Arabidopsis thaliana: one gene and its partners. The protein of the gene in region 1 interacts with the protein of each later gene in a pairwise test. Each region holds a gene or a part of one and is shown on either strand. Other genes may lie near its edges.

What was found.
Region 2: the proteins of RR12 (region 1) and AT1G15670 interact in a protein complementation assay, tested with the Arabidopsis thaliana proteins (one study listed by BioGRID).
Region 3: the proteins of RR12 (region 1) and AT1G80440 interact in a two-hybrid assay, tested with the Arabidopsis thaliana proteins (one study listed by BioGRID).
Region 4: the proteins of RR12 (region 1) and AT2G44130 interact in a protein complementation assay, tested with the Arabidopsis thaliana proteins (one study listed by BioGRID).

The regions. Positions count from the first base shown.
Region 1 is NC_003071.7:10,722,815-10,729,780, reverse strand, and holds RR12 (response regulator 12), read left to right. Parts: upstream 1-2,508; 5' UTR 2,509-2,819; coding exon 2,820-2,946; intron 2,947-3,226; coding exon 3,227-3,379; intron 3,380-3,507; coding exon 3,508-3,882; intron 3,883-3,971; coding exon 3,972-4,048; intron 4,049-4,144; coding exon 4,145-5,128; intron 5,129-5,216; coding exon 5,217-5,291; 3' UTR 5,292-5,480; downstream 5,481-6,966. Other genes in the region: PKL (chromatin remodeling factor CHD3 (PICKLE)), read right to left, coding at 6,018-6,377, 6,458-6,531, 6,605-6,737, 6,822-6,966. UniProt on the Arabidopsis thaliana protein: Transcriptional activator that binds specifically to the DNA sequence 5'-[AG]GATT-3'. Functions as a response regulator involved in His-to-Asp phosphorelay signal transduction system.
Region 2 is NC_003070.9:5,387,646-5,393,253, forward strand, and holds AT1G15670 (Galactose oxidase/kelch repeat superfamily protein), read left to right. Parts: upstream 1-2,306; 5' UTR 2,307-2,473; coding exon 2,474-3,553; 3' UTR 3,554-4,027; downstream 4,028-5,608.
Region 3 is NC_003070.9:30,239,120-30,244,530, forward strand, and holds AT1G80440 (Galactose oxidase/kelch repeat superfamily protein), read left to right. Parts: upstream 1-2,332; 5' UTR 2,333-2,643; coding exon 2,644-3,708; 3' UTR 3,709-4,057; downstream 4,058-5,411. Other genes in the region: AT1G80450 (VQ motif-containing protein), read right to left, coding at 5,036-5,411.
Region 4 is NC_003071.7:18,251,334-18,256,673, forward strand, and holds AT2G44130 (Galactose oxidase/kelch repeat superfamily protein), read left to right. Parts: upstream 1-2,276; 5' UTR 2,277-2,397; coding exon 2,398-3,627; 3' UTR 3,628-3,721; downstream 3,722-5,340. Other genes in the region: AT2G44140 (Peptidase family C54 protein), read right to left, coding at 3,773-3,939, 4,020-4,090, 4,180-4,235, 4,383-4,521, 4,616-4,995, 5,087-5,134, 5,210-5,295.

The DNA of each region.
Region 1 (6,966 bases):
TTCATAGTAGTTTTTGAAACCATACTCCAATCAATCTGATTACTTGTAATTAAAGTATGGTCTTGTAATATTAATTTCCAAAGGTGTGATTTTATAAAATTCAAATTTAAGGCGATAACAAAACTTTTGAGCTTACTTTATCCATTGAGAGGCAAGTTTTCCTACGCAACAACAGTTGACACGGAAGTATTAGAACACAAAAATAGTAAATTCAAAGGATTCTTCTATCAAAATATAAGCTTCCAACTCAAAACTAATTGGTAATGAGTGAAGAACGTTATATCTTATAAATATTACTTAAGATTATACTAACTTCTAATATGTGACAATATCTCTAATACGATCCTTCTAAATGATGGCTTTTCTATCCATTAGTCTTGATATGTTTGGGCATAGATTAGTGGACCGATGTGGATTGGGTTGACTATATGCAGATCGGACACTGATACCATATTAGATTATGGGCTTCCAACTCAAAATCAATCGGGAATGAGTAAAGAGACTTATATCTTATATATAACTGCTTAAGTTCCTACTAAACTTTCAACGTGGGACGATATCTCTAATATCGATCAATTCAATAATTTCAACCATGCCGAAAGCTAAGACGATTATGAGAAAAAAATTGTTTTCTTATACGCCGAGCTGGAAAAATGATCCACGACAGTCTATCATTTCTATGCCAAATTATAGTGAAAAATAAAGTCAAGATGTAATTAAGAGACATAGTGTTTATATTTTTGGAAAAAGATCAAAAGGATGCTAAAATTTGAATACCAGATACCGTTACGATTTGGATATCAGTGGAGTCCGAGTGCAATTGTCAGTTTACTATCTTTTGTACCATATATTTTAGAGCGTTTTTCTTAACGTTATCATATATTTCGATAGCGTTTTTCTAAGAATAATGATATAGTCGATTTTAAGAGTATGTACAAAAAACATAGGCTACTTTATGGTTTCTACAATTGATTTGCTAAGTCAATTTTATCATTTGCTTGTACATCAGTGCATGAAAGGAGAAAAGGGAAAAACAGTAAACAGATATGTATTATCTACATGAATGGACATATCTTAGACCTCGTGAAGTACCTTAAAAACTTATAGGAGAAAGAGGGTTACTACTTACTACCTCATCTAGACCTCGATTACGCGATCAAAGCAATACTGGATATCAGATAGATGTGGTCTTATCTATCAAAATTGTTTAGTCCGTTTTCGAGTTTGGGACAAATCTCCTTAGAAACCAGCTAGAATGGCTTAATCTATATATAAGATAATAATAAGTTTAACACCAAGACTTGCCGAAGTTAAGTTACATGTAATGCTACGAGATTCTCTGATACATATGTTATAAAGTGAAGTTAAAACACTTTTCTCAAGAAACACACTTACATAAAAATTAGTCACGAAGGTAAACAAGTGCTAAAAAAAATGAAGGGTCTTCTCCAACAAGAAAGACCGTTTTAACACTACTACTTGGGGTTCGTAAATTAATACAAAATCCTGGAATAAAACCATTTATCATCTTATATCCAACCAAACAAATTAATATAAACACTGTTAAAAAATAAGAAATGAAATTTAAATTAATGATAGAAATAATCGAATTAGGTGTTTTGATTTTTTTTTCTGTGACTACAATATATTTAAAACCCAAAATTTTACAAAAATCGTTTTAGTAAATCGGTTTAAATCTGAAACAAATGCTAAGGAAAGTATTTAACAGTGATTGACATTATGGAAATAATTTAATTTTTTTTGTCCGTTTAACAGTTGGACAATACTAGATTAACAAGAATCAAAATGTATCTCCACAATAATGATGCGATATAAATGATAGTATAAACCAAAATCTTTTTACTTAAACACTTTCCTATCTCTAACATAATTACTTTTTAATTTCCCCCATTCAAATAACACCTAAGTATTATTTTACCTGGTTTTTACTTTTTAACACAATTTAATTGCAAACAAGTAGTGTGTTTTATTAGTTTAAACTTTAAAGTCTTTAGACTAGAGAGAGGAAGTGGCAATAATACTAATCCGGTTCAGTCACTAAACCAGTGTACAATATATGGTTGGTCCTACAAATGATAATTTTTGATAAACCTAAAAAAAATGGTGTATTATATATCACCTGAGGATAGGGATACAAGTTTCTTTTAGGGTGGAAATCCTTATATATAAGTGTAGGGACTACTCACCAAAATCAAACAACTCACTTCAATTTGTAACGGTTTAAACTCGGTACAATATGCGGATTTTGATTCGGTATAATGACATTAAAACACCACTTTAACAAAAACCACTAGACAAATATTAGTCATTTCGGTTCAGTTTCGTTTAAAAATTACGAATTTTCGTATAATTGAGTTTATTATTCCGTTTGGTTTAAAAGAAACCATACAAAACAAAACAAACCAAACTAAACCAAATTGGTTATGTTTCAAAGATTCTTTCTAAGTCTCTCAATAAAATGTTATTTGTTTTGTAATGTAAAGAAAAAAAAAAGAATTGCAGAAAAAGAGTGGATAGTGTTAAGAAGATGATCACACACAATTTCCATAGCCATTTATAGATAGCTAGAAGAGCTAAAGAAGATTCCTTTTTTTAACTCTGCTGGAAAAATCTTTTTGTCTCTCTCTCTAAATCTAAATATTATATACTACTACTCTCTCTCTCTAGACCCCATTCACATATTTAATCTTTAACTCATTTCTCCATCGACGTTCTTGCACATCCCACTTTCTCTCTTTCTTCAACTTGCAAAAAAGATTAAAAATCCAATCTTTCGTTTCTGGGTCTGTTGAAAAACGATGACTGTTGAACAAAATTTAGAAGCTTTGGATCAGTTTCCTGTAGGAATGAGAGTTCTTGCTGTTGATGATGACCAAACTTGTCTCAAAATCCTTGAATCTCTCCTTCGTCACTGCCAATACCATGGTTCCTCTCTCTCTCTCTCTCTCTCTCTCTCTCTCTCTGTTTTCTTGGATCTGTTTTTCATCAAGTTTTTAGATTTTATGTCTCTTTGATCTGTGATTTGATCCACATATGGTGGAATCTTTTGATATCTATCTACCTAACTTCTTGTATACACAAATCTAAAAAAAACTTAGCTTTTTTTATTCCATTGTTAGATTTTGTAAGATTTGACATTTGTCAGAGAGAAAGTTTCATTGTTGAATTGAATTAAAAGTTTAAGACTTTATGGAATCTGTTGCAGTAACAACGACGAACCAAGCACAAAAGGCTTTAGAGTTATTGAGAGAGAACAAGAACAAGTTTGATCTGGTTATTAGTGATGTTGACATGCCTGACATGGATGGTTTCAAACTCCTTGAGCTTGTTGGTCTTGAAATGGACCTACCTGTCATAAGTAAGTCTTATTATTATTATTATTTTCTAATTAAACTTTTGTCATTTATTTCCTTAATGACTCACTACAGGAATAAAGTTTTGATCTCTAGACTTGGTTTTGTGATGATGATTTTCTTGTTGTTGCAGTGTTGTCTGCGCATAGTGATCCAAAGTATGTGATGAAGGGAGTTACTCATGGTGCTTGTGATTATCTACTGAAGCCGGTTCGTATTGAGGAGTTGAAGAACATATGGCAACATGTCGTGAGAAGTAGATTTGATAAGAACCGTGGGAGTAATAATAATGGTGATAAGAGAGATGGATCAGGTAATGAAGGTGTTGGGAATTCTGATCAGAACAATGGGAAAGGTAATAGAAAACGTAAAGATCAGTATAATGAAGATGAGGATGAGGATAGAGATGATAATGATGATTCGTGTGCTCAAAAGAAGCAACGTGTTGTTTGGACTGTTGAGCTGCATAAGAAATTTGTTGCAGCTGTTAACCAATTGGGATATGAGAGTAAGCTTATCAATATGTCACTTGATATGAGAGTAAGCTTATCAGTATGTCACTTAAGTTCTGTTTTGTGTGTGTTGTTTTGATTGCAGAGGCTATGCCTAAAAAGATTTTGGATCTGATGAATGTTGAGAAGCTCACTAGAGAAAATGTGGCCAGTCATCTTCAGGTTACAAAGAATCTTTCATGTTTTTAACTTGCGTAACCCGAAGATTTGTTTTTTAACACCTCGGAAGCTTATGACTTTGTTCGCTGTGGTTTGCAGAAATTCCGCCTTTACTTGAAGAGGATCAGTGGTGTGGCTAATCAGCAAGCTATTATGGCAAACTCTGAGTTACATTTTATGCAAATGAATGGACTTGATGGTTTCCATCACCGCCCAATCCCTGTTGGATCTGGTCAGTACCATGGTGGGGCTCCTGCAATGAGATCTTTCCCTCCAAACGGGATTCTTGGCAGACTCAATACTCCTTCGGGGATCGGTGTCCGCAGCCTTTCTTCTCCTCCTGCAGGAATGTTCTTGCAAAACCAGACCGATATCGGAAAGTTTCACCATGTCTCATCACTTCCTCTTAACCACAGTGATGGAGGAAACATACTTCAAGGGTTGCCAATGCCTTTAGAGTTCGACCAGCTTCAGACAAACAACAACAAAAGTAGAAACATGAACAGTAACAAGAGCATTGCTGGGACCTCCATGGCTTTTCCTAGCTTCTCTACGCAACAAAACTCGCTCATCAGTGCTCCTAATAACAATGTCGTGGTTCTAGAAGGTCACCCACAAGCAACTCCTCCAGGCTTCCCAGGACACCAGATCAATAAACGTTTGGAGCATTGGTCAAATGCTGTATCCTCTTCGACTCACCCTCCTCCCCCGGCACATAACAGTAATAGTATCAATCATCAGTTCGATGTCTCTCCATTACCGCATTCTAGACCCGACCCCTTGGAATGGAACAATGTGTCATCAAGCTACTCTATACCATTCTGTGACTCTGCCAATACATTGAGTTCTCCAGCCTTGGATACAACAAATCCCCGAGCTTTCTGTAGAAACACGGACTTCGATTCAAACACAAATGTGCAACCTGGAGTCTTTTATGGTCCATCCACGGATGCTATGGCTCTGTTGAGTAGTAGTAACCCGAAAGAAGGGTTCGTCGTAGGCCAACAGAAGTTACAGAGTGGTGGATTCATGGTTGCAGATGCTGGTTCCTTAGATGATATAGTCAACTCCACGATGAAGCAGGTGTGACATTAAAGCTTTTGCCAATATTAACCATTCTGATTTGGAGATTATTGTGATTTCTGACATGAAGATTTTGTGAATGTGACAGGAACAGAGCCAGGGAGATTTGTCTGGAGGAGATTTGGGATATGGAGGGTTTAGTTCACTCAGAACATGCATATGAGAGAACAAACATTTAGACATAAATCAAATATCATCATCTTGTTTGTCTCTTTTTCTCGCTAATCTTTTGTGTATTAAAATTGTAAACTATTTGTTTTCCCACTGGTTCTAGCAATTTAGGACTCCATTAAAGAAAACAACAAAGAAAAAAGGATTCATAAATAAACTTTCTTACTTTTTTATTTTAATGTATAGTTGTCCCTTTTGTGTATGAAACCAAAATTCACGGGCCTATGAAGAAACAACCCTATAGAAAAAGTCTATGAAGAAAAAGTGATGATGACGAATTTTAAAGCAACAAAGATTCCTTCGTACACTCGAAACCATTATGTTAAAGTCAACCCAAATTTGTATTATAACATTCTTGTGTTTGTATCTTACATTATTTAGTTCAGTTTTTGAGTTTGATTGAGAATAGTAGTTAGATTGAAACAGACGACGTCTAACCGGAAACATAACCGGACTTCATCGAACCTATTCACACACTGTTAAAAAGCTTGAGGTGCATAACCAAACAGCTTTGATTGAGAAACTATAATTTCATGATTTTCCAAAAATAGGAAAACATGAAGAATATCAAAGTTAGCCTAAAATGTTACCAATGTTTGCATAAGCAGAAGATAGGTCTTACAAAAGGAAGAATAAGTCTCATACATGTAACCAAAGATAATACAACAGTTCCTACTTCATGACCCCTTGGGTCTTGAATCTTGATTTACCAGTTGAGTCAATCAACGACCATGTTCTTTGGCTTCTCTTCTTCTTTGGCTTCTTCCATTTTTACATCAACACTTCCACTAGCTTCAGCAATGTTCTCCTCTCCCTCCACCACATTCAGATCGACGACGCCACCTCTTAACGGTTTTGTTTCTTCGGCCGTGTCCTTCATCTCAACATTGTTTAGGTCTGGCTTGGTGTCGTCTTCATGTGACTTGGATTGATCAGATGTAATCGAAAGGATTGTGTTAATGTTACCATTGATAGATTTGAGTGCACGGAAGCTCTCATTCACCTTGGTACTCGGTGGTTGGTTGTTTACATATGCTTGGACTGATTCCCGAGCGTTCTCATCAAGAAGTTTGCACATCTGAATAACCGGAGAGATATTAGTGTGATATACTAGTTCTAGACATTAGCCTACCACCAAAGGAAAAAAGCATAGCTTACCTGGTTATAATGTTGAGCTATTTCGACCCGCGCTTGGTTGTTGTCAACAGCAGCCCCCATAATTTCTTCTGAAGCTGCAGCGAGATTCAGAGAGCTCACATTAGAATCAACAACTCGTTAAATAAAGAAACTTGTGATGGAACTTACTGATAGGATCAGTCTTAGGAAGTCCATCAAGCATTTCATCATCAACCTCAATAAAGCTCACTCCCACTGTGTCAGCGATCTTTGGTTCAGCTTCTGGTTCTTCAGTAGGGATAGATGATGAGCCACCAAGTCCCTGCAACCAGAGATTCAATCAAAGTTAAACAATTCAGCGCAAAACATGTGAGTAAGTACCAACACTGCAGATGGTACAACATACATAATATTCCTCTGCGTATTCATAATTCATCGCCTTCTCCAAAAGCAGAACTCGCTTTTTCACAAACTCAACAAGTCGTCTCTGCATGTCCCGATAATAGAACATCGAGTTTACTTGAGCCCCATCAGCAGAAGCATTATTGTTC
Region 2 (5,608 bases), on another chromosome or scaffold:
TTCTGGATGGTTTAGCCAATCTCTCTAATACAATTATTCAATGGCCGACAAACAATAGAGAAAGGATACACAAAAAAAAAATTAAAATAAGAGGATGGAAGGAACCACAAATATTGAAGTTTTCAATTTTTAGGCTGTTTCTTTTCTAATTCCTTTTTCACGTTTTCTTTTGCGCTTAAACAATATTGAATTGTTAATTATGAGTATTGTATAGTACACTGGTCACTTTTTGGATAAGCCGTTCACATGGAATCAAATGAAACTAAAATATCAAATTGATTAGAAAGATGTTTAAAATATGACAGTTGTCTTAGAACAATCTCATGCTGATAGAATAAACACATTGATATTATAAAACGGAAATAAATATATACAATATGCACCTTTGAATTAATTATGCGTACTTCGAACAAATGGTTAGCTTAGTATCTACTATATTGTTTTAAATGTCTAATTTGACATACATGAATGTAACAAAACAACGAAGTCAGTGAAAGTGACAAGGTGTTGCCTCTTTTAAAGTCGCTTTACCTCCTATGGTTTCGTCTTATCGTCTTGTGCGTTGGGCCACTTGTGCCAATTATCATTTTCTTAATGATCTGGTGAATTTAGAACCAAGTTTGTACTTTCATATCTTTAACAAATTATGCAACCATTTTTAAGACCTTATAAAAAGTGACCAAAAAAGGTACTTATGTGATAAAAAAAAAAAAAACAGATGGTGCGATTCGTCGTTAACTGCAATCTACATAGCAACGTTTCAAACCATCGAAACATCGTCTCTAGACGCTTTGGTTTAAACTAACCAGTCTTTAACTCCCAAGTCCCAACTATTTGAATAACTCAACCATTAATTTTATCCGTGTATAATACGATAGGCTATAGTATTAGAATATAATAATCGTTTGGTTGGCTATTGGTTAACATGTCTTCGTGAACATTACCGCACATGGGATCACATGGACCTTTGTATATTTCGAATATTTTAACTATACAATACTCTTGACTTTGTTTATATATATTTTAAAAAATGTTGGAATATAGCATAGATTTAGATCCCTACATGCATTATTCATTTTTTTTTTATATCCACTACTCGGGCTAATTTAATACTACTATTTTTATATAATCTGTCTCTACAACGTGGTAGAACAGCTTCATTAATACGTTACTTGAAGATTCACTAATTATTTATACATGTACACTTCAATAATTACGGCAAAAAGGTAACGTTAATTCCACGTCGAGCATCTTAATATTACTAGCTATTAGTCACATAGATAACTTTTCCTTCATTCGTAAAGTAACCCGTAAAAATTACGATGCTTAACGTGAAACGGTGAAATATGAATTAATTATTTATCCAACATATAATCCGATAGATGTCATTTTCGTGTCAGTACACATTTAGTCTACGATATAACCAAAAAAAGAAAGACATAAAGAACGATTTTTTAATAAACAAAATAGATAGTCGAAAATAGATTAATTAACAAGACTTTGATTTAGCTAACTTGATTGCTTGCAAAACTGGTCTTAGATCTAGAAATCCAATGACCATCACATCATTCAACATGTCCCAATTGGTACACCGTCTCCATCATATAAACCAAAACCCGCACATTAATCCCATTAACCGAACGGTACTCTCTCCGGACTTCTGTTAACTTCTCCTATCAAAGTTACGTTTATAGAAGAAATTCATGTATACATCGAAAAACAAAATGTCTTAAAAGCAAAAGAATTCAAACAACATTGAACTTTTCCTATTGACGAAAAGTCAAAACTTTTACTTTTCTAGTCTTCTTAACCAATTATCTCTTGTTGGAATCGTAAATAGGTTAATAAAATAAATACATATCTCTATAATTTAAAATGGAAAAAAATATCACCAGTTTACTATTTTTTTTGATTTAAATTATAAACTTTATACTTAGGATTATGTTGATTTCCAATTAAATCATTAATTTTTCTTGACTAAACCAATTGAGATACTGATTTTTTTTTTCAGCGCCATCAATTGATTTAGACACGAGAGATTACTTCGAATTCGAAAAAAATAGAAAATCCGAAGTAGAGGAGAAAATCCGTATAAAAAGGTAGAAAAATTTGAAATCGATTTTAGAGATCTAGGGTTTGTGGTTTGGAAAATTTCTAATAATGTGTATTAACTGGATTAGTCAACGAGAGTTCGTAATTAAATTGAAAATCAATATAAAATTAAGGATTTAAATCACTAGGTCAAAAGTTCATGTTCTAAAACCAACAAAAATGGTAAACTAGTGCTGATTTAAATGATATTTTTACCAATTGAAAATACACTTTCCTTTTTTATTGTTCTAGAAGACTTATCCCTCTATAAAGTAGCCACACTCTTCTGTCTTCTCTCATCACCTCATTCATATCTCTCTCAACCTGAACATTTTCATTTTTTCTAAATCAAGAACTTCAAATCTTGAAACTTTCTAAAAAGATGGAGCTTATTCCTGATCTTCCCGAAACTGTAGCCTACGAGTGTCTCCTACGCTCCTCCTACAAGCAATTCCCTCTTATGGCCTCTGTTTGCAAACTCTGGCAGCGAGAAATCAGCCTCTCTGATTTTTTCCGACACCGGAAAGCTTCAGGACATAGTCAAGAGCTTGTTGTCTTGTCTCAAGCTCGGGTCGACCCGGTTAAAGAACTCGTATCGGGTAATAAAACCATCCCCACCCCCGTGTACCGAATCTCGGTTCTTGAACTTGGTACCGGTCTAAGGAGCGAGCTGCCTCCGGTTCCAGGTCATTCCAACGGGTTGCCTCTGTTCTGCAGATTAGTCTCTGTCGGGTCGGATCTTGTTGTATTGTGCGGGCTTGACCCGGTTACATGGCGTACCTCTGATTCGGTCTTCGTTTTCAGCTTCTTGACCTCCACGTGGCGCGTCGGGAAGAGCATGCCAGGTGGACCGCGTTCCTTCTTTGCCTGCGCTTCGGATTCTCAACGGAACGTCTTTGTGGCTGGAGGACACGACGAAGACAAGAACGCGATGATGTCAGCTCTGGTGTATGACGTGGCAGAAGACAGATGGGCTTTCTTGCCGGATATGGGCCGTGAGCGAGACGAATGCACAGCTATTTTCCACGCTGGCAAATTCCATGTCATCGGTGGTTACTCCACGGAGGAACAAGGGCAATTTAGTAAAACTGCTGAATCGTTCGACGTCACCACATGGCGGTGGAGTCCACAAGGAGAAGAGTTTCTCTCTTCGGAGATGACTATGTGGCCTCCGATTTGTGCTGCCGGTGAAAACGGAGATTTATATGCTTGTTGTCGCCGTGATCTGATGATGATGAAAGATGACACGTGGTATAAAGTTGGGAATCTACCTGCTGACGTGTGCAATGTATCTTACGTGGCGATAAGGAGGTCTGGAAACCTGGTTGTGATCGGTTCGGCTCGGTACGGCGAACCAAGTGTAGGGTATAATTGGGATATGAGCAATTCTCGATGGTTAAAACTGGAAACACATGATAAATATGAAGGCCACGTTCAAGCTGGTTGCTTCTTGGAGATATAAAAAAACTTTAGAAAAGGTTCCGAATCTTTTGTACGTCGTCCTTGCGAAATGACGGTAAATTTGGTCGGTTGATTTTGTCAAGTGTGACTGTATAAATATTATATTGTTATAGATAAATTTGTTAGCTTGAATGTAAAAAAATTATTGTCGAGTGATTTTATAGTTTTTAATCTTATTTTTTAAGTTGTTGTGTGATGTTACTAAAGTTAGTGGTAGATTTTATATTTGGGTTGCCTAAATTTTCAGCCATGTACTATTTGGAATCTCAACTTTCCTACTTAAACTTTTAGCCACTTGAAAAACCACCATAAACAATTTTAATCTCGATAAAACTATATGTACTTTCGGATTTGTTCTTAAAACTACGCCTCCAATTGAACCGACCAGTTAACCGTTAATTATACATCTGGTTTGACTTATCCATAATTTAACCGAAATTAATTCGATTTAACTCTATTTTAGCCTAATTTTGACCTAAATGTAAATAAATTGCCTTATTAAGAAGTAAAAGTGTTTTTATTAATTTTTATTTGTGATAAAAAATTAAAAATATTAAGTTATAACTTAATTTTAGCGAAAATTAATATGACAAAATATACCTCAAATTATATTTTGAGCTACATTTTGTTATAGAATTTTGATAATATACAAGCATATACATTTTCTTTTTGGCAATCATTTATATTTTTTTATAAATTTAAAGCTATGTCTTTTTTTTAAACAAAATATTCATTTTTCTTGAAATCATAATATATGACCTTTGAACTTTATATATGTAATGAAATTCAAAATATATGCCAAATTAATTTTTATATATATCCGTAAACACCACAATCAAAGTATATATTATGGTATTTATAAATTCATTTTTCTTTATAGATTCAGTTTTCTTTTTATATATTCAAGATGAGTTATATATATATATATGGTTATGGTGTTTTTAAAAAGAAAATGTCCTTTGAATTATTAAATTTAGAGTATATACCAAATACATTTATATATATAACACCATTTTATTTATAAAAAGAATTTATTGTCTATTTTGTTATATTATTTTGCGGTATATTTTTTTATTACCAAAATATATACTAAAATTTTATTATATAATTTTGTGTGGTATATTTGTTATTTTATTATTTTGGTAAAATTAATTAATTAATTTTTAAGTTTTTATCAAAAATAAATAAAAATAAATAAAGTATTTTTCTTCTAGAGAATATATTTTTTGGGTCTAAATTGGGTTAAAATAGAGTCGAAATCGAATTAAGTTCGGTTAAATTTCGGGTAAGTCAAACCGGATGTATAATTATCGGTTAACTGGTCGGTTCAATTGGAGGTGTAGTTTTAAGAACAAATCCGAAAGTACATGTAGTTTTATCGAGATTAAAATTGTTTATAGTAATTTTTCAAGTGGCTAAAAGTTTATGGTGGAAAATTGAGATTCCAACTACTATAGGGTTGAAAATTCAGGCAACCCTTTATACTTTACAATTTAATGTTAGTCCTAATAAGCCCAACTAAAGTACACTTACTCTATTGATCTAACGAAGCTTACAAGGACAAGAGTGTCGATACGTTATGTTAGTCCCATTTCGTGTTAGAATTGAAAATTTAACATTCGTGTCATTTCGCCAACAATCTCGAAAGAATCCCAAAGTGCAGTTGCCGAGATAGAGCGTATTTGAAGACTCGGGTTATAAATTTTTTGGAAACATGGGCTAAGCTAAGCCAAGCCCAATATTCCAAAATATTAGTTTTTTAAAAAACACTAAGAAAACCAAACCAGCAAAGTCTTAGTTCATCTCTAATTTTCTTTCCTCATCACAACGACGCAACTATAAATAACCAATAAGTTGTGGGCTTGTGGCTTTAGTTCATCTCTAATTTTTAGGGCTTCTGTCTTCCTCGTCAAGTTATTCAGATTTGCTCTTCAAGATGTATCTTTAACATGCGAAACTAAAGAAATCGAAATTTATCAGAAAGTTGGAAAAATATATACATTTACCCGAGTAGATTATCCTAACAAAGATTTTTTTTTATAAAAAAAACTAAAGA
Region 3 (5,411 bases), on another chromosome or scaffold:
TTTTATTTGATGTCGACCGCATGAATATCCAAATGATCTATTGCATGTCTTCGTAACAATTTGATCCCTACCATTAATTAATATGCAAAATAATAATGCATATATGATGAAGACGTCGAGTGCCTAATAGAAAGATGCGGCGAGTCAAACTATCTTTTGAGACATATATACTGTTTAGCTATATATCTTTTCAAATGAACATTTTCCTATGTAATTGGCCAGCGTTTTCTGCGGTGCCAAAGCTCATATTCTCTCGATCATCTAACTGTAAACCTTATTACTTAGCTCTGGCAGATGTTATTATCTTTGCCGGTTTGCTTCGAGGCTTTGTGCTTCTAATTTAATCAAGTGTCGACATAATTGGAAAAAAAAACGAGTAAAATGCAAATAAATAACGATCACATATATAAAGAAGTAATTAAACTCTTTTGGCTAGTTATTTCGTGTGTTCTTCGTTTTTTTCCAATTTGCTTGGCGAATTTTCTTGTGAAGAAAATACTTGTTAAGAGATTTGAATAATTGAACGCGACCAAAGAAGAGTATGAGAATTGAAAATATCGACACGAACATTGATGAAGTGGGTCCAACACTCCCAGTACCAGTCTATTCGGGCTATTCCTATCTACGAAGAATCGGATTGCTTCCGTCGTTTATTGTTTAGATTTATCAAAGAGCCAGCCACCCGACGAATCACGACGACTCTTCTTCCCCCCTTTAAGGATGTTGACACCGTGTCGTTTTGTCACCTTATAGAGTTATAGTCATTCAGACGCCGTGCCGTTTTATCAGTTAGAGTTATTTTCTTCATGTTGAACCTTTTTTTGTCAGCCCGTTTTATCCCACGTTGAAGTTTCAATTAGCTTATTTTAAAAAATATTAGATCGGAGTATCTTTTGTCTAATTAACCAAAACTCCAAGTTACTACATTTATATGCAAATACATGAATGGGTCATAGTAATCACAAAACTATTGTTTTAATAAACCAAATATATGCGTTAAAGATGTTTACAGCTTTATACATATGGCGGACACTAGAACTAGTCCAACCTGCATGGAACATGCTACTAATTCCCTAAATATTGTATTATTCCGTATTCAATTTTGTACAGCTACGAAAAATAGAGTATTGTACATAAATGTCCATACGTTACAGATTAAATTAGTAAGCAAAAATGCTTTGATTAACGAGTATACGCTTTTGAGTACGGAGACAACATTTCGTTTCTTTATGTCACACGCGTTAAGAAGTTTAATAAAGATCATATATAATTACGACAAATATCTGTATATATTGTAGCTATATTTATAAAAACATATAACTTTGGTCATCGGTAATAGTTTAAAGATGTCGAGTATCAATACAGATTTAAATATGGCCGACCAAAGATAGACACACACATACAGACAACAACAAGCCAAATAAGAATCAAATAAATTTTTGTCAAAAAAAAGGGAAATTCTACAAGTGAAATTAGAGAAATTATCTAGAAGGATTTTAGAGGAAAGACTCCAAGGCATTAGTCTTTGAGCTGGATTTGGATTTCATTTTAATAAAACATAAATTAATCTTTAAACGCTATTATGTGCTTGGATTATGTACCACATAATGCGAAGGAAACATCTTTGTAGTTTTGCGTTCTTCATATAATAATATTTTGCCGTCGTGTATGTGTAGTATACATATATTCATCACTTTAGTATACAAGTTGCCACAAAGTTCTGTTGTTTATAATAAAACCAAAAAAAAAGAACAAGTTCTGTTGTTTATAATAAAACCAAAAAAAAAAAAAACAAGTTCTGTTGTTTGGAATTAGGAGATCGATTTAAATTTTTACAAAGCAAAAGGGTGTGTGTGGTCCGATTAATATTTTAGTATATGAGAAAAAGAAAGGGTGTGATCTAAATTATAGATTCAGAAGGTCCATTCAAAAAGTACAGTCTTTTATGTGTAGGTTTTAAGTTTTTTCATTATTCTTAAACGAACAAATGATAGATTAATTTTATTCTGTTTTTTGTTGTGCGCACTAGTAAGTGTATACTCTATAGCATTAGATAGAAAACAGAGTAACATGTCAAAACAACATCCAAAATCTAAAATCAGTATTAGTCGAAAGGCCTAATTCGATATTCGGTAGTATATTTTACCGTCTATGTTTAGATATATAATCTGTTGTTGACTGGAATTCGAATGCTAAATTACTAAACCTGACCAGAAAAATATCAGGAGAAAATGAACTTGGATATGACATCCATCAACTTGTCCCAATTGGTCCAAAGTCTCCATCTTTAAATACAAGACACAACCATTAACCGTTTTTGCCCATACTAACTCAAATTCCGTTATCTTCATTTTATTTGATTTAAACTATAAAATATACAACACAAAAATTATATTAAAAAAAGAAAGAAACGATGAATGAATCAACAAGTTTTCTAGAAACACTTATCTTCAAATATCTATAAAGCGGCACACTCTCCTCTTTCCCATCATCATCATCATCTTCTTCAACCTTGTCTCGATCCAAAATTTCATCTTTTACCAAAACTATTACAATATCCCTCACTCTACTTGTAAAGCTTCAATCTTCTTCACTTCTCAACAAACAGATAAACAAAAAGCTTCAATCTTTGATACTTTCTCGATGGAACTTATCCCCAATCTTCCCGACGACGTTGCTCGCGAGTGTCTCCTTCGCTCCTCCTACCAACAGTTCCCTGTCATCGCCTCCGTTTGCAGAGCCTGGAACCGTGAAGTCTCTCTCTCTCAGTTTTTACATCAGCGAAAAGCTTCACGCCATAGCCAAGAGCTTCTTATTCTGTCTCAGGCTCGTGTCGACCCCGCTGGATCCGGAAAGATCATCGCTACGCCTGAATACCGGATCTCTGTTCTCGAATCCGGGTCGGGTCTTTGGACGGAGCTTCCTCCGATTCCTGGTCAAACCAAAGGACTTCCTCTGTTCTGCAGATTGGTTTCCGTTGGATCCGATCTTATTGTCTTGGGTGGGCTTGACCCGATTACGTGGCAGGCCCATGATTCGGTATTCGTCTTCAGTTTTCTCACTTCCAAATGGCGCGTGGGGGCAACCATGCCAGGTGTACGGAGGTCCTTCTTCGGATGCGCTTCGGATTCGGATCGGACGGTGCTGGTTGCGGGTGGACACAACGAAGAGAAATGTGCGCTTACGTCAGCTATGGTGTATGACGTGTCAGAAGACAAGTGGACGTTTTTGCCGGATATGGCGCGGGAACGAGACGAGTGCAAAGCGGTATTCCATGCTGGCAGATTCCACGTCATCGGTGGATATGCCACTGAGGAACAGGGGCAGTTTAGTAAAACAGCCGAATCGTTCGATGTGTCTACGTGGGAGTGGGGTCCACTTACGGAGGACTTCCTCGACGACACCGGCGATACCGTTAGCCCTCCGACCTGCGTCGCCGGTGGGGATTTGTACGCGTGCTGGGGTGGCGATGTGATGATGTTTCTAAATGACAAGTGGCAAAAGGTGGGCCAGATCCCTGCTGATGTGTACAATGTTACTTACGTAGCGGTGAGGCCCGGGATGCTGATTGTGATCGGCAACGGGAAGGCGTTGGCTGGATACGGTGAAGCCACCGTAGGGTATATATGTGATTTAAGTAGCTCACGATGGGTAAAATTGGAAACACACGGTGGTCATGTTCAAGCTGGCTGCTTCTTGGAGGTCTAATGGAAAACCTATTCATCTTTGGAGTTTGAACCTAAACCGCAACAAACCAATGGGTAGTCTCGTGTGTCAATCTACAAATCTTTTCATGAACAACAAAATAAAGAAATATTGTATTTATTCAGTGTCACTTTACCAAATATTTATGTTCTCTATACAAAACTTCAAAAGGAAGATTTGAACTTTTAGGTTCTCTATACAAAACTGATCTAATTATATAATTGCAAGCAAACAAACTTTCGAAACATGTGTCGACACAAAACTTTTAAAGTTTATTAAAGGAGCCTTGATTTTGGTATCCAAGAACTTTAATGGGTTTCATAGACTAGTCCTATTAATTTTTTTACTCGAGGCCCAAATAGACCAGATTTTGAATGATGAACTTTTGATCTTTAAATGGGCTTTTGGATGGGACTTGAGACAAATGGATGGCTAGGATTAGAGCAGAGGTTTGAAATATGGATTACACCTGAGGGGCAGAGTTCGAAGATAGACTGACAACAGACTTTAAAGAGAGATGCAGAGACACCCTCTGTTACAAGTAACATCTATTTAATATCGATACAAAAGAAAAGTGCATTATATTTTCAGCAGGAGAATTAAATCGTAGCCGTTGAATCTGCAGAGGAAATAGGCGCCGCTTCGTTCTGCGTCACAGCTTTGTCATTAAATCCAACGGCTGGCAGCTTTATGACACACACAAACAATTGAATTGGAGCAGTGTTAAACTGTACAGAGAATTTAGCTTCTTTAGTTTCTTTCTTAACCAAAAAGTCAACACATTTTTGTATCTATTATAAGTCGGCCTATTTAGCCTATCTTTTCATTCATCTCCATACACACATCATCAACTTTATTGTAAGGAAAAATTTAAGATACGAAGACGATTACGCTAGCTTGATCGTTGTAGACTTGTCAAAAAGTACTACTTTCCAAAAGAAAATTGAGCATTGTGGTTATATTATCTTTTTTCAAGAAATTTAGAAACTAGATAGCTTGTGTTTTGGATCCCACGTATTAATGGTTAGATAAAAGATCTAAAAAGACATTGATTTATATGCTCGTGAAATGATGTCTTCCTTGACTAATGTAAGTAATTGCCGCGTATAGAATAAGATTTTTTTGTATTCCAAAAGGAAGTGGAGTACACGCGCCGAAATAGTTGACCCTTGAAGAAAAAGTTTAATGAAGGATGAAAAAAGTCTAGGTTAAATGGAAAACGGATATTAACTAGCCCTAACAAAAATAGTAAAAAGCAACAGCAAATATCACGTGTCCCCAACTTACGATTAAATAGCCTAAAACTCAAATTATACGTTCTAAATTAAGACTAAGAGTCTCGATGATTATCTTCATGAATCCGGTGATTAGTGCCGTTAGGAGAACGAAGAGGAAACAGGGGCAAAAGCTCCGGTGCCGGCTCGGAGCCGCTTCTCGGACTCGGAAGGAAGTAGAACCCTTTTTCCGCTATGGCTTTTTGCTCTTCCTTGTCCGGTTGCGCGTGGTGTTCCTCACGCGCTGAATGTGGACTCACGCGCGCCCAGAATGGGTCTAGGTGAGAGACGGGAGAGACGAGGAATCCTCGGTGGAAATGGCTGAAAGCGTCGTTAGGGTTTGTGATGTTGTTGACCTTAAGCTCCATTTTCTTTGATGATTGACGCCGTTCGTGGAGTTTGAACGCTGGCTTTTTGGGAGTTAATGGAAGC
Region 4 (5,340 bases), 7.5 Mb from region 1:
CATAAAGATGACAAACTCCCCAAAAGGGAAAACAAATATCAATGCCTATCTTCTAGAACCCTTATCTCTATTTTTCTTCTTTTCATTTAGTAATAGTTGTATTATATCTTTGGTTTCATTTTCAGGAATAATTAATTAGAAACCAATCCACTTCATCGTAGTCGTAAATCAATCAACCTTCGTTGAAAAGAAAAAAAAAACAACAACTTCAGTTTCGTGATGATTTCAAATTCGTCTTGCGATAGTCGTGAAATTCATCAATAGAATCTGTTAACAGTACTACATCATCCATTGATCCATAATCCATTTAAGGGAAATAAAACAAAACTAAATGACATTATAGTTGCTTTTTTCTTGTCGAGCAAAAAGTTTCAAAAGATGTATCCATTGTTTCTTTGACTAACGCGACCTATTGATAGCCAATATTACCATTTAGGAATGAAAATGAATCGAAAGTACTCGTTTATATGCGAAACTACTACTACTATTCAAAGAAACTCTACGTTACTTTTTCTTGACACACGACAATAATTGGTGATGAATAAAGCTAGAAAAGCTGATAGAGAGAAAATACATAAGTAGAGAGTAATCAAAGAAAGGACAATTGACGAAACAAGAACAGACAATGTGGGGAAAATGGGATAGAGTGTAATGGACCAGCCCCCTATTAATGTTCGACCCCATTCTTATTATTTTCCTTCTTATCCCCGACTTTCATTTTTCTTCTTGTCTATCTATGTTCATATCGTGCGCTAACACCCAAATTAATCTTCTTCCCTTGAAACATGTTTTAAATAACGGCACAAATAGTAAGCGTAGATTCATAAATAACCCCAAAGTAAAACAACAGAAAGCATCATTAATTATCCGGTGGAGACGAGATGACTTGTGTGAGGCTGGAAGTCCGCGAGACATACCTTTACGTCGGTGCATCGCAGAATAGACGTGTCAACGTTTTAATATAATATGTTGAATAATCGAAGAGTAAGACCCAAGGATAGTTAATGCCAATGTATATCCATGAGAACTTCTTCTAGAAGACTATAATAAAGTAGAAACCTTTATAAAGTTATAATCAATCATAATATTATTGATGAATCTTATATTCAAACGAAACTGCCCTCGCAATTTTCTACGTAAAATAATACGTATTACAAAATTAAAAACACATGATGATATCTTACAACTTATAACAACTAAGCACAAATTTTTTGGCAAAACATAAAGAATCTATACATATGGACTATTCGTGAAAGAATTTGTTTGATAGTGCGTGCACATGCCAATATGAAATGAAAATGTCCATCATACATATTAATATACCTGTTTTAAATTGTAGTAAATTAGGGAGAAACAGTTCACGAGATGTTTACTTATCGGTTGACGGTTGCGTCAGTGAATACGACTCATTCCTTATTACTCCATATTATTTGTCTTTGCATAGCTTCTAGAAGCTTTTTGTTATTTCAAATAAAAAGTGATGGTAAAGACTAAAAAGCTCACTACTGGTCTTCGTGAACTTTATTATCAAGATGTCATAGATTCGGTTTCAATTGACACTGAAATGGAATAGTAATCTAGATATCTAGTTGATAAACTAGTTTAAAAAGTTATTAGTTCAAACTGTTTTTAAACTATAGACGCTATACAGTGGTAAAAGCGTTAAACAAAAAGTGCGGCGCAGTATACTGTCAATTTAATTTGTGATTATAATATACAATATTGTTACCTAACTTCACTTAACCAAGTAACCACTGACCTAACTTCAACTATTTGCCTTTACAATTTACATCATGAAACAACATGGACATTTCTTGAATTTTTGGTTGATATTCAAATAATCAAATTCTTATGGAGTATATGATTTACTCCACTGTTAGTTGTTCATTTTGTCCTTATGAAAGTCTTCTAGAAGCTTTCTACTTTTCCTGTTTTATGAAAAGATTGTTTTAACAAAAGCACCGTCTTCATGAACTAAACCAGTTGTTATAGATTCCATTTCAAAGTTTTATTCCTTATTAAGGAAATCGCATCAAAGTAACCCATGTGTTGACTCTTGCCTGTTTGGTGAGATTGAAAGGGAATGATTAAGAAATAAATTTTTAGATACGTTTGCGTTTTGCAACATACACGAATCTTGATTTTTTTCATACGCTGCTAAATCAAGTTTATAGGGGTTTTTAAAAATTTAAACGAACCGTCGCGTTATTTCAACCGCAAGCAAACTCATCCTCCTCTTTCCCTATTTAAAGGCTCTGCCACCTCTTTGTAGCTTCACACTCACTCAAATTTAAATCGCAACTTTCGTCAGTTTTTGTGTGTTTTCTTCTACACATAGACACTTTGCTCAATCAAACACACTCTCTGTTCTGTTTTTCTCAAACTTGTTTAAGTTCGATGACTATGGAAGTGTCGAAAAAGAAAGGTGGAGATTTTCAGCAATGTCACGAATTGATTCCCGGTTTACCTTCCGAACTAGCTTTGGAGTGTTTGGTCAGAGTTCCGTTCCAATTCCAATCCGCCATGAGATCCGTTTGCCGTTCTTGGCGTAGCTTACTCTCCGACTCTTCTTTTATCCAAGAACGGCGGAGATGCGGCAAAACAGAGCTTCTCCTCTGCCTCGTTCAACCGCTAACGCCGCCAATTCCAGCGTCTAAATCGGTTGACGAGACATTAATGGTTGACGAGAAAAAATCAGAGGATGAGTCACACCCGCGCGTTTTCTGCACGCCGCGTTTTGGATTGAGCGTTTACAACGCTGCGATGTCCACGTGGCATCGCGTTGCGTTTCCAGAGGAGGAGCAGATCCCGCTTTTCTGCGAGTGCGTCGTGCTTCAGGACGCCGGGAAGATTCTGCTCATCGGCGGTTGGGATCCGGAGACGTTACAGCCGACGAGAGACGTTTACGTTCTGGAATTCGCCGGAAGGAAGTGGAGACGAGGTGCGCCAATGAAGGAATCACGATCATTCTTCGCCTGCGCCTCCGTAAGTCCAACGAAGGTATACGTCGCCGGAGGTCACGACGATCAGAAAAACGCTTTACGCTCGGCGGAGGTGTACGACGTCGAGAAAGACGAGTGGTCGTCGGTTACTCCGATGACGGAAGGAAGAGACGAATGTCAAGGATTCGCCGTTGGTATGGGTCTAAGGTTTTGCGTGCTGAGCGGTTACGGAACGGAATCTCAAGGAAGATTCCGATCTGACGGAGAAATTTACGATCCAGCGACAGATTCATGGTCGAGAATCGACAACGTCTGGCGATTTCCAGATACTAGCCCGAGAGGTCGCACCGCCGGAGACTTTAGAAGCTCCTCTACGTTATGGTGTTTCACAGACACTGATTTACAGAGTGAACGTCGATGGGAAACTAACGATGATTCGAGAAATTTGAAACTGGATCTTCAATCTATACAGCTTCCGATGACAGGAAGCTCAGTTTTCGCCGGAAGCTTAGGAGGTGAATCGGTGGTAATGATTGGCGGTAAAAGAGAGAGTGAAGGTGAAGGTGAAGGAGGAGTGATGATGAAGATGACGACTGAGAAGAAAATGGGAAAATGGAGTCATCATGTTCATATACCTTGTGATTTCTCTACTCTTCCATTTTCGCATGCTTCAATCTATGTTTGAAAATCCCAAAAGATTTTATAGTACAACATTGTGTTCTGATCTGATGTAATATACACCAACACATATAAAAAACAAAGAACTGGTTAACAAAAGGAAAAAAAGAATTGTAGCTTGAGATTGTTAAAATGTTTGACGATGATCATGATCAGAGCATTTGCCAGTCATCTTCACGTTCATCCTCGCTGTCGTCATCCGCAAACCCGTAGTTGCTTTGGTTTATCGCTGTGTGGGTTTGAGTCACTGTGAACAATGGAGCACCGTTTGATTCCTCAGCTAGTTTCAATGCTCGGAGACAGAAATCGTCGAAATCATCTGTTGAAGATTAGGGAAAGGTTTTTTCAAGTTACAGAATTTAAAAACTTTTGGTTTCAGAGAATGTAGTAATACAATACCTTTGTCGCGGCAATAGAATCCTAGAGCTAGAGATGGGTCGAGTGATTCCAAAGGAACATAACGAAGGACACTGATGCAGATTCAAGATAAAATTAAGAAACAAGATAAAACTGAACCAGGCAAAAGTCGTCTGTGACATGATAATTTGAGGAGACTCACTTGCAATGATAGGAGGATGTGTCAACATCTGGTGTTTCCTTGTTGACTGTGACCACCTAAATCAATCATCAAACGATAAGTCTCAATCAGTATCCGACTTATCATGTGAAATGGCATCTTATCCGACTTAGGTACTATGGACCACCACAATGCCAGACCAAGATTTATGGACTCTAAAAAAATTCAGAGGCACGAAATGAAACCTGTTGAACTTCATGCGGATCAAGGTAGAAACCTTTGTCTTCTTGAACACCAACTATGTAAGTTGAGGCACCTGGTTTGCCACCCAAAATCCCCACGCTCTGAGGAAAAGTGAATGTGGCTACGAGAGATGGAATGTACCTGTCATCAGATTATAGCAATACGTCAGAAAGGTCAAGTACAAATACGAGTCGAGCATAACAGAGATAATGGAATCAATTTCACAGTTGCAAACCTGGGATTCACACTGTCAAGCCCAAGAACCAGTGGAACCAAAAGGATAATCGGTGTCCACTCAGACTGTCCTTTTGAGAATTCTAGACAAGATTTGGTAGCATCTTCTATACAGAGAATTGGAGCCCCACCTCTCTCTCCATCTTCGCTGCCAGAAACGATATGAACAGCCATAGGAAGCGTCTGGTTTTTAGAATCAGTTTGTTTTCTCTTCTTGCACGCTAATGACTCCCACGCTCGACAAATGGCATACGGTCCTACCCATGACCCAGCAGCGAGACCATAGGACGCTCCAGCTATTATAAGATTGTGGATGGAGAAAGCTGAAGGCTCGGAATCACCAAAAGGTTCCAAGGTCTCTAAGTATTCCTGTTCAGGAAGCTGCATTTTTAAATCAAACAAGCATGAGGTTTCCACTATCTCAATGCAAGAAACCGGGTTTCTGTTCCTAGTGTTGCTACATTGAGCTTACCTCAGATTTCTTAGTCCAAGCCCTCCCCAGCCTATGGAAAAGCAACGCCTGATAATATTTGGTTTGTCAGAATATGTTATAAACTTCAAAATCTCATGCCAAAAGAAATACTCTTCCTCACACCTGAGCAAAAAGCATCTGGCTACTTCGAATCATGCAACCCCAGTTCACATCGCTGGTATAAGTTGTGTCTCTAAAGGGTTCAAAACCTGTAAAATACAATTCGTAAATGGTAAATTTTATGTAAAAAACTT